Callithrix jacchus: one gene and its partners. The protein of the gene in region 1 interacts with the protein of each later gene in a pairwise test. Links are inferred from orthologs where the notes say so. Each region holds a gene or a part of one and is shown in the gene's direction. Other genes may lie near its edges.

Region 1 (4,390 bases):
GATGCGGCTGAGACCCGAGGGGGTGGCCTCCAGGCCAGGCTCACCTTGGGGTCTCTCTTCAGGCGCAGGCGGTGGCCCCAGTGCGGGGTCAGGGACTGCTGGACCACGCCACGGTGCCGCAGGTGAAAGTACTGCCCGTCAGGGAAGATCTGGGGATGTGGGGAAGCGGCCGCACGGATGGGACCCGGCTCCCCTGCTGCAGCCCCCGAGGGCCGGGAAACCCCCCTGCCTTGTCCTTCCCCACCAAGTGCCCTCAGAAACTGAGCTTGGCTGATGCAGGGGTGGGCTGGGGCTCTTGATACTTAGGAGACCTTGGGGGCTCCCTCCCACTTGTCGGGGTCTGGGGCCGTCCAGTCCCCTCGAGCCCCCACTTCCTGTCCATCCCGGTCCCACCCACCGGCCCCAGGTTGACGAAGCCGAATTTGCGTGCCAGGCGCTCGGCCTCCCGGTTCCCCTGGGACACCCGCACGGCCCAGCTGCTGACATAGATGGGGGCCCGGGACGAGGCCCACCCCACAGCCAGGGGGCCTACGAGGGCCAGGGCCAAGGCCAGGCGCAGCCATAGCGCAATCGGGGCGGGCCTCATGGACGCGGGGCGGGGAGGGGGCGGGACCTGAGCAAGCCCCTCCCCCGCCAAACCGCCGAGGGGGCCCAGGCGCCCGCCACGCCCCCGGCGCCATGGCAACGCGGAAGGCTTCGACTCCCAGGGGGCCTTGAGGCTACCCCCGCCGAGAGGCGCGAAGATCTGACAGAAGCGGGAAGGAGGCACGCCTGCCGGCCTTCCGCAGACCCACAGCCTCGGGAGCCTCAGTTCCCCCATTTGTACAACGACAATAATCTAAACCAGAGAAGGGGAGTCACTCGTGGTAACGCGTCCAGCACTTTCTTTGGCCTCGCCCACTTTCCCACACACCCCCTCCTTCGAGAATCAGCCCGGCCTCCTATCCGGCCCAATCAAAATCGCTCTATCGAGCAATCCCGCCTCCTCCAATAAGCCCCGCCCAATTCCCCGCCCCTACTAATCAGCCCCGCCTCCTTTACGGATCAGACCGCCCCTCCTCCGGCTTCACCAATGAATCGCGTACCGTTTCCCCAATCGGCTCGGATTTTTCTCCAGCCCCGCCCACAGGCTCCTCCTTCCACCGCGTGCCGCGCCTCACCCTAGCTCCACCCCCCTCAGCGTCGCAGCCAATAATCCCGTCCCCTGACACCGCCCCTCCAATCAGCTACGTCTCGCTCCCGCCCGGCCAATCGGTGCCCTGAACTGGTGCGCCCCGCCCTCTCCAGGCGGGGTCTGCGCAGTGGCGGCCGCAGCCCCCCCAGAGGGCGATGCGGCGGGGGAGACGGGGCAGGCCCCACCTCCTTTGTCCGCCGTGCCCTCCCATTGGTCCGGGCGGGGGGCCGGGGGCGGACACCGGCGCGGGGCCCGGACAGCTCGGCTCCCGCTGCGAGAAAGCTGCGCGCGTGCAGCGGGGCGGGCGCGCGGGGCCGCGGGCGAGCTCGAGCAGCCAACGCCGGGCGCGCCGGGGCCATGGACGGGCTGAGCCAGCGCGTGGAGCGCTTCCTGGAGCAGAGGAACCTGGTCACCGACGCGCTGGGGGCGCTGGAGGCCAAGACCGGGGTGGAGAAGCGGTATCTGGCTGCAGGTGAGCGGTCGGCGATCGCCCGTTTCGCCGACGGGCACATCGAGGCCACGGGCCCGGGGGTCGCGGATCGGACTCCCTCCCCGGCTGCGGGGTCCGGTCCGGCCGGTGGAGCGTGCGGGGTGACCGGGACCTCGGGGTCCGCCCGCGCCCCCCTTTCCAGCCTCCTTCCCGGCGCTGGGTGCCCGCCACGCCGAAGTCCGGTTCTTCCAGTTGCCCGGTGGCCCCGGAGGGGTGGGGGTGGGGATGCCCGTGACCCGCGCGTTTCCCCGTCCCCTGCCCCCCGTGGACTCCGGGAGGGGAACGGACCGTCCCTGGGGGGCTACCGGGGGGCTGCCCAGGACCCTCCTCCCGGCTGGCCTAGTCTCCTTCCCCCGGCTCAATGGCTTAGTGCCACTGCGCGTAAATATTTAAGACGAAGCTGGGTCGTCTGACAGCTGTGATGGGGGGAGGCTGGACTGGCGCCCGCGGAGCTCCAGATCCCGACACCCCGATTGTGACTCCATGTTCTCCTGGTCCTTTCCGCCTTGGTGACACTGTGCGGCCCTGCCCCTTTCCAAAACTGTCTAGAGCGCGCATGTAGCAATCGCTCCTTAAATGCCTCCCTCTCCACCTTTAAAAGTTTTTTTTTTTTTCTTTTTTTGAGAGGGAGTCTTGCTCTGTTGCCCAGGCTGGAGTGCAATGGCGCGATCTCGGCTCACGGCAACCTCCGCGTCCCGAGTTCAAGCAATTCTCCTGCCTCAGCCTCCCGAGTAGCTGGGATTACAGGTGTGCGCCACCATGCCCAGCTAAATTTTGTATTTTTAGTAGAGATGGAGTTTCACCATGTTGACCAGGCTGGCCTCGAACTCCTGATCTCAAGTGATCCACCCACCCCGACCTCCCAAAGTGCTGGGATTACAGGCGTGAGCCGCCGGCCCTGCCCAGCCTAAAACTTTTTAAAATTAACTTTTTTAAGAGACAGGGTCTCACTATGTTACCCAGGCTGGTGTCAAACTGGGCTCAAGTGATCCTCAGCCTCCCGAAGCTCTGGGATGACAGGAGGGAGCCACTGTACCCAGCCTTTCTTCCCTTTGTGTGGTGCTCCCAGCCCCACTGGCCCTGCCTTCTTTTTCAGGGAGCCTGGCAGAGTAACTCACAAGGATTTTCTCTAGCCTGGGGCGCAGTGGGTAGCGGGCAGTGCCACTTTTTTGAGCACCTCCTGCAGGCAGATCCCAGGACTCCAGTTTCCCCCGTTTTCCCACCATCTGGGAGTTCCCATGCCTGGCAGCCCCAGGACAGTCTGAGATCTGTTCCCAGACCCTGGAGGTCCCCAGGTGCCTGGTCCCATGTGCACAGCACAGCAGGTGGCATGGCCCCCTGTGCCTGCCCCGGGGAGCAGGCCCCTGACCTCTGCCCTCCCTTTCCACATCCCTGGGGCCAGTGGGCGGGAATTGAGGTCATAGAGCGCCCAGGAGGCAGGCAGCAGGGACGGGCTGGCTGGGGCACTGTGTTGCCAGGGAGGAGGCTGAGGTACAGGGAGGCAGGGGCTGCCTATGTGCCTGCTCTGTCTGAAGCATACGCCCCCTCCACCCTGCCCACCCCAGTCCCATCTGCTGCTAATCTTGGGGGCTGTGCCCCGTCCACACTTCCCATGTTCAAGGTCATCCTCCCAGTGCTGAACCTGCAGAAAAAGGGATTTAGGGGAGGGACGCCCTGGGAGAGCCATTCCTCCCCCACCAGGGAGGCCCGGGGAAAGGTGGCGTTCCCTCATCCCCCTGTATCCCCCTCCCCCGCAACCCCGCACCTCCTTTAAACCCATAGGTCCTACACCCCTGGGTAACATGAAGAAACTCAGAGGAGACAGTGGCCCGGAGGCCGCATAGCCTGCTGGGACCAGCTGGGGGACCCCTCCTACCCCGACCTTGGGTGCTTGTCGATAAAGACTGATGCTGGCCGAGGGGAGGGCTGGGCTGCGGAACTTGGGCGTCTGCCCTTTGGTCGGCAAGTGGCCTCTATCTCTCTCTGCAGATAGCAGCCCCAGGGGAGGAGAACGGAGGCTGTCCCAAGCCTTCTGAGCCCAGAGGTTCCCTGTGTGACCTTGGGCAACACCCACCCAGCCCAGTTCTGGCTGTTGCATGAGACAGTTCAGGGAAAGCACAGAACCTGGCACACAATAGGCGCTTAATAAATGCAGTTGTCACAGTCATTCTTTCCAGAGCCAGGTTCAGGATTGGGGCAGAGCTGGATGCGGACACACACACACTCTTCTCTCTGAAGACCCTCCTCACTAGAACTGTGTTACAGTAGCCTGAAGGCGCTTAATAATTGTACAGGAAGGCCAGGTGCAGTGGCTCACACCTGTAATCCCGCCCTTGGGACACAGAGGAGGTGGGGGGGGACCCTGAGGTCAGGAGTTTGAGACCAGCCTGGTCAACACGGTGAAACCCCATCTCTACTAAAAATACAAAAGTCAGCCTGGCAGGGTTGTACACGCCTGCGGTCCCAGCTACTCGGGAGGCGGAGGCACGAGAATCGCTTGAGCCCAGGAGGCGGAGGTTGCAGTGAGCTGGGATTGTGCCACTGCGCTCCAGGCTGGGCAACAGAGCGAGACTCCGTCTCAAAAAAATAAAATGTGCAGAAGGGTGTTTGTTCTCTTTGTTAACTTGTAACCATAAGAGGCAGGGGCCATTACTGCTCCCACTTACCGAGGGGGAAACTGAGGCTCCATGCAGCCAGAGCCTTGCTCGCTCCGGGCTACTGAGTGC
Region 2 (3,644 bases), on another chromosome or scaffold:
CTGTCGCCCAGGCTGGAGTGCAATGGCACAATCTCGGTTCACTGCAACCTCTGTCTCCTGGGTTCAAGCAATTCTCTTTGCCTCAGCCTTTCAAGTAGCTGGGATTACAGGCCTGCACCACCATACCTGGCTAATTTTTGTATTTATAGTGGAGCTGGGGTTTCACCATGTTGGCCAGGTTGGTCTCAAACTCCTGACCTCAGGTGATCTGCCCACCTCAGCCTCCCAAAGTGCTGGGATTACAGGCATAACCCACCACACCCAGCCTCTTCTTTTCTCTTTGCCTCCTTTTCTTCTTCTTTTTTTTTTTTTTGAGACAGAGTCTTGGTCTGTTGCCAGGCTGGAGTGCTGTGGCGTCATCTCGGCTCACTACAACCTCCACCTCCCAGGTTCAAACAATTCTCCTGCCTCAGCCTCCCAAGTAGCTGGGATTACAGGTATGTACCACCACGCCTGGCTAATTTTGTATTTTTAGCAGAGACAGGGTTTCATCGTATTGACCAGTCTGGTCTCGAACTCCTGACCTTATAATCCATCTGCCTTGGCCTCCCAAAGTGTTGGGATTACAGGCATGAGCCACCACACCTGGCCTTCTTTTCTTTTCTTCTGTTCTTTTCATTTCCTCGAATTCCTAGGTTCAAGTGATCCTCTTACCTCAGCCTCCTGAGTAGTTGGGACTACAGGCATGTGCCACTATGCCCAGCTAATTTTTTATTGTTTGAAGAGATGGACTTTGCCATGTTGCCTGGGCTGGTCTCAAACTCCCAGACTGAGGTGATCGTCCTGCCTTGATCTCTCAAAGTGTTGAGATTACAGGGGTGAGCCACTGCACCTGGTCAGATTATTATTGCTCTCATTTCTCTTACCATGTTTTAATTGGCTGCCCCAGAAATCTCTCTCCAACTAGTGAGCTATGTCTGTTGAAAACTATAGAAACTATGGGTGGGTACAGTGGCTCATACCTGTAATCTCAGCACTTTGAGAGTACATGGTATAGGAGGATTATTTGTGCCTAGGAGTTTGAGATCAACCTGAGCAGCATAGCAAGAACCCATCTCTACAAAAATAAAAACCAACAAGATTAGCCAGGCTGATCCCGAACTCCTGAACTCAAGTGATCTGCCTGCCTCGGCCTTGCAAAGTGCTGAGATTAAAGGCATGAGCCACTGTGCCCGGCTTCTCTTGCATCTTGAATGAGGGAAGTACATTGGAGCAGGAAGGCTTGCTGGGCTGATCCAAGAGGATGCACACTTATCCTGGGGATTCTTTACCTTGCTCTTGATGCTTCTGCAACTACCAACTGCTGTGAGGTCCTTGAGATGTCATTTCTACTGTAGGGTCTCCCCCCTCCATTGAATAAGTGGGTTTAGATCTTCTTGGCATCATCCAAACCAGCTACCATTTGACAATCAGAGATCCCTCATTCAATGAGAGGACTTCCTAGTCTTGCCTGTTGAATGATTGATTCCCCAATTTGTTATTTAGAACCTAGAATCCTCATCAGCCCCAGGCCTCCGTCTTACACCAACTCCCAGTAGAGCTACTTACACAGAACAAACTATGTTTCCCTTGGAATTCTGGATTATGAAGTGGATATCAGTGTACATTCACTCTTACCCAGGATTCCCCTGAACCAAGAGACTTTCTTTCCCTTTTCTCTTATTACTTTTTCTTATAATTGTAGATTCACTTGTAGTTTTAAGAAGTAATAGAGACAGATCACATGCACCCTTTCTACAGTTATCCCATGGTAACATCTTCCAAAACTGTAGTGTAATATCACAGCCAGAGTATTAACACTGATACAGTCCACCAATCTGATTTAGACTTCCCCAGTTTTACTTTGTTTGTGTGTATTTACTTCTCTGTGGTTTTGTCACACGTGTAGGTTTGTGTATCTGTCACCATAGACAAGATACAAAGAGTTCTGTCAACACAAGGCTCCCCTTGTTGCCCTTCAATATTTTAATATTTATTTAGTTAGTTTGAGACAGAGTCTTGTTCTGTCACCCAGGCTGGAGTACAATGACGTAATCTTGGCTCACTGCAACCTCTGCCTCCCAGGTTCAAGTGATTTTTCTTGCCTTACCTTCTCAAGTAGCTGGGACTACAGGCATGTGCCACAATGCCCAGCTAATTTCTTTTCTTTTCATTTTTTGAAACTGAGTTTTGCTCTTGTCACCCAGGCTGGAGTGCAGTGGGCGATCTCGGCTCACTGCAACCTCTGCCTCCCAGGGTTAAGCGATTCTGCTGCCTCAGCTTCCCAAGTAACTGGGATTGTAGGCGCCCACCACCACGCCTACAGCTAATTTTTGTATTTTTAGTAGGCAGGATTTCACTGTGTTGGCCAGGCTGGTCTCGAACACTCCTGACCTGTGTCCACCCACCTTGGCCTCCCAAAGCGCTGTGATTGTAAGCGTGAGCCACTATGCTTGGCTTCGTTGCCCTTTAATAAACAGACACCTCCTTCCCACCACCTCCCTATTCCTAACCCCTGTAACCACTAATCTGTTCTCCATTTCTGTATAATTTTGTGTTTTCCAAGTTGTTGTTATATAAAATAACATTATATAAAACTTATAAAAAATTACATACATTATGTAATCTTTTAGGATTGCTTTTATTCACTAGGCATATTTGTATGGGAAGGGGGAGACTCTTTTTTTAGACAGAGTCACTCTGTCACCCAGGTAGGAGGCATGATCTTGGTTCACTGCAATCTCCACCTCTCAGGTTCAAGTGATTCTCCCGCCTCAGTCTCTCAAGTAGGTGGGCTTACAGGCACCTGCCACCATGCCTGGCTAATTTTTTTTTTTTTTTTTCAGTAGAGACAAGGTTTCACCATATTGGCTAGGTTGGTCTTGAACTCCTAACCTCAGGTAATCTGACAGCCTGAGCCTCCCAAAGTGCTGGGATTACAGGCATAAACCACTATGCTTGGCTGAAATTTTTTAAGATAGAGAAAAGTACATAGTATGACACTGGAAATAACTATATGTTTGTACCATGGGATCAACACTGACTATTGTTAATATTTTGTTATATTTGCTTTATCTTTTTTTTTTTTTTTTGAGATGGAGTTTCGCTCTTGTTGCTCAGGCTGGAGTGCAATGACCTTGACTCACTGCAACCTCTGCCTCCTGGGTTCAAGTGATTCTCCTGCCTCAGCCTACCAAGTAGCTGGGATTACAGTTGCCTGCCACCATGCCCTGCTAATTTTTATTTTAGTTTATTTTTTGAGACAGAGTTTCACTCTTGTTGCCCAGCCTGTAGTGCAATGGTGCAGTCTCGCTCACCGCAACCTCCACAGTCCTGCGTTCAAGCACTTCTCCTGCCTCAGCCTCCCAAGTAGCTAGGATTACAGGCATGTGCCACCACACCTGGCTAATTTTGTATTTTTAGTAGAGATGGGGTTTCTCCATGTTGGTCAGGCTGGTCTCAAAGTCCCGACCTCGGGTGATCTGCCTGTCTTGGCTTTTCAAAGTGCTGTGGTTATAGGCATGAGCCACCGTGCCTGGCCAATTCTTTGTATTTTTAATAGAAACAGAGTTTTGCCATGTTAGGCACGCTGGTCTCAAACTCATCTCAGGTGATCCACCTGCCTCTGCCTCCTAAAATCTTGGAATTGCAGACATGAACCACCA
Region 3 (3,644 bases), on another chromosome or scaffold:
CTTGAACCCTGAAGGCAGAGGTTGCAGTGAGCCGAGAGCACACCACTGCACTCCAGACTGGGTGACAGAGCGAGACTCCATCTCACAAAATAAAAAAAAGGCTGGGTGCCACAGTGGCTCATGCCTGTAATCTCAGCACTTTGGGAGGCTGAGGTGGGCAGATCACAAGGTCAGGAGTTTGAGACCAGTCTGGCCAACAAGGTGAAACCCCGTCTCTACTAAAGATACAAAAAATTAGCTGGGTGTTGTGGTGCGTGCCTGTAATCCCAGCTATTCGGGAGGCTGAGGCAGGAGAATGGCTTGAACTGGGGAGGTGGAGGTTTCAGTGAGCCAAGATCATGCCATTGCACTCCAGCCTGCAGGGCAAGGCTCTGTCTCAAAAGAAAAAATTGCTGGGCTGAGGTTGGAGTAGTCCAAATGGGCCTTTGGGGGTCCTCCTGTTTGACAGATGGAGAAACTGAGGTGCATAGTGAAAAAATTGCTGAGGTTACACTCAAGGCTTAAAGCCAGGGTGCCTTGATGCCAGAGCCCAGTGGCCAAAGCACACTGCCCCTTTCGGGGGACTAGGAGGCACCTGGGCATGACAGGGTGAGAAGGTATCAGTTGGCGGTCTCTGGTCTCAACTGGCTCTTGCCTTTCTTTCTCAGTTCATCTCAAAGAAGGACCCAGAGGATGTCAAAGAGGTGAGGCTCCTGGGAGGAAGAGGGAGGTTCCGGATCTGGAAACTGACAAGGGGCAGCTGGTAACTCTGTTTGAACACCGGCCCTCCTTCCTCCCCGGCCCTGGGCAAGGCAGTGCTACATCCTGATCCTCACACCCCTTGGGGGCAGACTGGGCATGGAGGTGGCTGCCTCCCACCATTGCCAGTCCCAGGCAAGTCTCGTGTCCCTGGTAGGTGGTGGTCTGGAAGCGGTACAGTGACTTCCGCAAGCTGCATGGAGACCTGGCCTACACCCACCGCAACCTCTTCCGCCGCCTGGAGGAGTTCCCTGCTTTCCCCCGGGCGCAAGTGTTTGGTGAGTGTTAGATCTGGGCACTCAGGCTGAAGATAGAGGGAGTATTGGGCAACGGGGACATCTGCCAGTGGGGGCTGGATAGAGAGGGACTGAAACTCTGGGCAGATACACGTTTGGAAGGACCTTTAGGGATGACCTTATTTGACAGATGAGGAAACTGAGGCTCAGAGCAGCCTAACCCTGTATATTGCACTTTTTTTTTTTTTTTTTTTTTTTTTTGAGACGGAGTCTCACTATGTCATCCAGGCTGGAGTGCAATGGCATGATCTTGGCTCCCCGCAACCTCCGCCTCCCGGGTTCAAGCAATTCTCCTGCCTCAGCCTCCCAAGTAGCTAGGACTATAGGTGCGTGCCACCACGCCCAGTTAATTTTTTAAGTAGAGATGGGGTTTCACCATGTTGGTCAGGCTGGTCTCGAACCCCTGACCTCGTGATCCGCCCGCCTCAGCCTACCAAAGTGCTGGGGTATTGTGCCTTTTAACATTCCTGTCAGGCCAGGTGCAGTGGCTCACACCTGTAATCCCAGGGCTTTGGGAGGCCAAGGCGGGTGCATCACCTGAGGTCAGTAGTTCGAGACCAGCCTGACCAACATGGTAAAACCCTGTTTCTACCAAAAGTACAAAAAATTAGCCAGGCATGGTGGCACATGTCTGTAATCCCAGCTACTCGGGAGCCTGAGGGAGGAGACTCACTTGAACCTGGGAGGTGGAGGTTGCAATGAGCCAAGATCGTGCCACTGCACTCCAGCCTGGGCAATAAAAGCAAAACTCCATCTCAAAAAAAAAAAAAATTCCTGTCTTTATTAGCTCCATTTTCTTTTTCTTTTTTGTTATTGTTGACAGCCTTACTTTGCTGCCCAGGCTGGAGTTCAGGGGGCTCACTGCAATTTCCACCTTCCAGGTTCAAGCAATTCTCCTGCCTCAGCCTCCTGAGTAGCTGGGATTACAGGCATGCACCACCCCACCAGGCTAATTTTTGTATTTTTAGTAGAGACAGGGTTTCACCATGTTGGCAGGCTGGTCTCAAATGCCTGACCTCAAGTGATCTGTGTCGGCCTCCCAAAGTTCTAGGATTACAGGTGTGAGCCACTGCACCCACCTATTAGCTCCATTTTCAAGGTAAGCCAGCTGAGGCTCAGTGAGGTGAAGGGTCTTGGCCTGTAGGTGGCAGAACCAGGATTCCTTGCCACAGCTGCACAGCTAGGTTTCCTGTAGACCTGTGCCTTCCAAAACAGTAGCCACGAGCCCTGTGTGGCTGAGGAACACTTGGGATGAGAGTAGCTGGGACTCGAGGGCACGCCACCACGCCCAGCTAATTTTTATATTTTTAGTAGAGACAGGGTTTCACCATGTTGGCCATGCTGGTCTTGAACTCCTGACCTCAAGTGATCCACCTGCCTCGGCCTCCCAAAGTGCTGGGATTACAGGCATGAGCCACTGTGCCTGGCCGAGATGTTCTTTTGAAGCAAGGTGAAGGATCACTGCTGTCAGGCCAGTGGGGAGTGCCGCAGACTGGCCACACAGTAACTGGACCAGAGTTAGCCTGCTCTGCTTAATACCTAGGACAGAGCAATGAAACTGTGGCTCAAATCTGTAATCTCAGCACTTTGGGAGGCCAAAGCAGGTGAATCAGTCGAGCTCAGAAGTTCAAGACCAGCCTGGGAAACATGGCAAAACCCCATCTCTACAAAAAATACAAAAGTTAGCCAGGCATGGAGGTATGCGCCTGTAGTCCCAGCTACTTGGGAGGCTGAGGTGGAAAGGCAGGTTTTCCCAGGAGGCAGAGGTTGCAGTGAGCTGAGATCGTGCCACCGTACACCCACCGGCCTGGGTAACAGAGCCAGGCCCTGTCTCAAAGAATAAACAGGGAGGCTACTTGCCGTGTGACCTTGGGCAAGTCACTTTACTTCTCTGAGCCTTACTTTTCTCCTCATTAGATCAAAGACATCAGAAATGCTTTTGTTTGTTGTTAACTACCTAGCTCTCCCTGTATAGAATATGATATTCACAAGGGCAGAGACTTGTCTCCCCTGTTCACCTTCTGAGCCTAGCATATAGTAGGTATTCAGTAAACATCTGGCGAATGAATGAATAGGGAGACTGATCCCTCCTGGAAACCCCACCTCACCCCAGGAGGAGCCGGGGAAGACGGCTGGGAAGATGGGTAGGAGGGCAGTGAGTTGCTCAGAGCATCTCTGGCAGGACCAGGAAAAGTGGCTTTGGGGCAGAAGCCACTGTGGGTCACCGCCACTCTCCCCTCTTCCCTGTCGCGGGGGCTGTAGGCCGGTTTGAAGCCTCAGTGATCGAGGAGCGGCGAAAGGGGGCAGAGGACCTGCTGCGCTTCACGGTGCACATACCTGCGCTCAACAACAGCCCCCAGCTCAAGGAGTTTTTCCGGGTATGTGCGCCTGGTCCTTCCACCTTCCCAGAACCTGGGCCACGTACCCGCCACCAGATTGCACCCCATGACTCCCCATGGCTGATCTTTCTGTCCTGCAGGGTGGGGAAGTGACCCGACCCTCAGAAGTGTCCAGGGACCTGCATATCCTGCCACCCCCTCTGATCCCCACCCCGCCCCCTGATGACCCCCGGCTACCCCAGCCGCTCCCTGTGGAAAGGAGGGGCTTCGA

Evidence for each region.
Region 2: the proteins of REEP6 (region 1) and PTPN9 interact in binary tests that used the Homo sapiens proteins (3 or more experiments, as listed by UniProt). The two-hybrid records come from large-scale screens. The link is inferred for Callithrix jacchus from reciprocal best matches to the Homo sapiens genes REEP6 and PTPN9.
Region 3: the proteins of REEP6 (region 1) and SNX15 interact in binary tests that used the Homo sapiens proteins (3 or more experiments, as listed by UniProt). The two-hybrid records come from large-scale screens. The link is inferred for Callithrix jacchus from reciprocal best matches to the Homo sapiens genes REEP6 and SNX15.

What each region holds. Positions count from the first base shown.
Region 1 is NC_133523.1:1,412,878-1,417,267, forward strand, and holds the start of REEP6 (receptor expression-enhancing protein 6), read left to right. Parts: upstream 1-1,449; 5' UTR 1,450-1,531; coding exon 1,532-1,646; intron 1,647-4,390. Other genes in the region: PCSK4 (proprotein convertase subtilisin/kexin type 4), read right to left, coding at 45-149, 398-586. UniProt on the Homo sapiens protein: Required for correct function and survival of retinal photoreceptors. Required for retinal development.
Region 2 is NC_133509.1:22,363,067-22,366,710, forward strand, and holds part of PTPN9 (tyrosine-protein phosphatase non-receptor type 9), read left to right. Parts: intron 1-320; coding exon 321-437; intron 438-3,644. UniProt on the Homo sapiens protein: Protein-tyrosine phosphatase that could participate in the transfer of hydrophobic ligands or in functions of the Golgi apparatus.
Region 3 is NC_133511.1:122,104,972-122,108,615, forward strand, and holds part of SNX15 (sorting nexin-15), read left to right. Parts: intron 1-647; coding exon 648-683; intron 684-895; coding exon 896-1,016; intron 1,017-3,296; coding exon 3,297-3,412; intron 3,413-3,513; coding exon 3,514-3,644. UniProt on the Homo sapiens protein: May be involved in several stages of intracellular trafficking. Overexpression of SNX15 disrupts the normal trafficking of proteins from the plasma membrane to recycling endosomes or the TGN.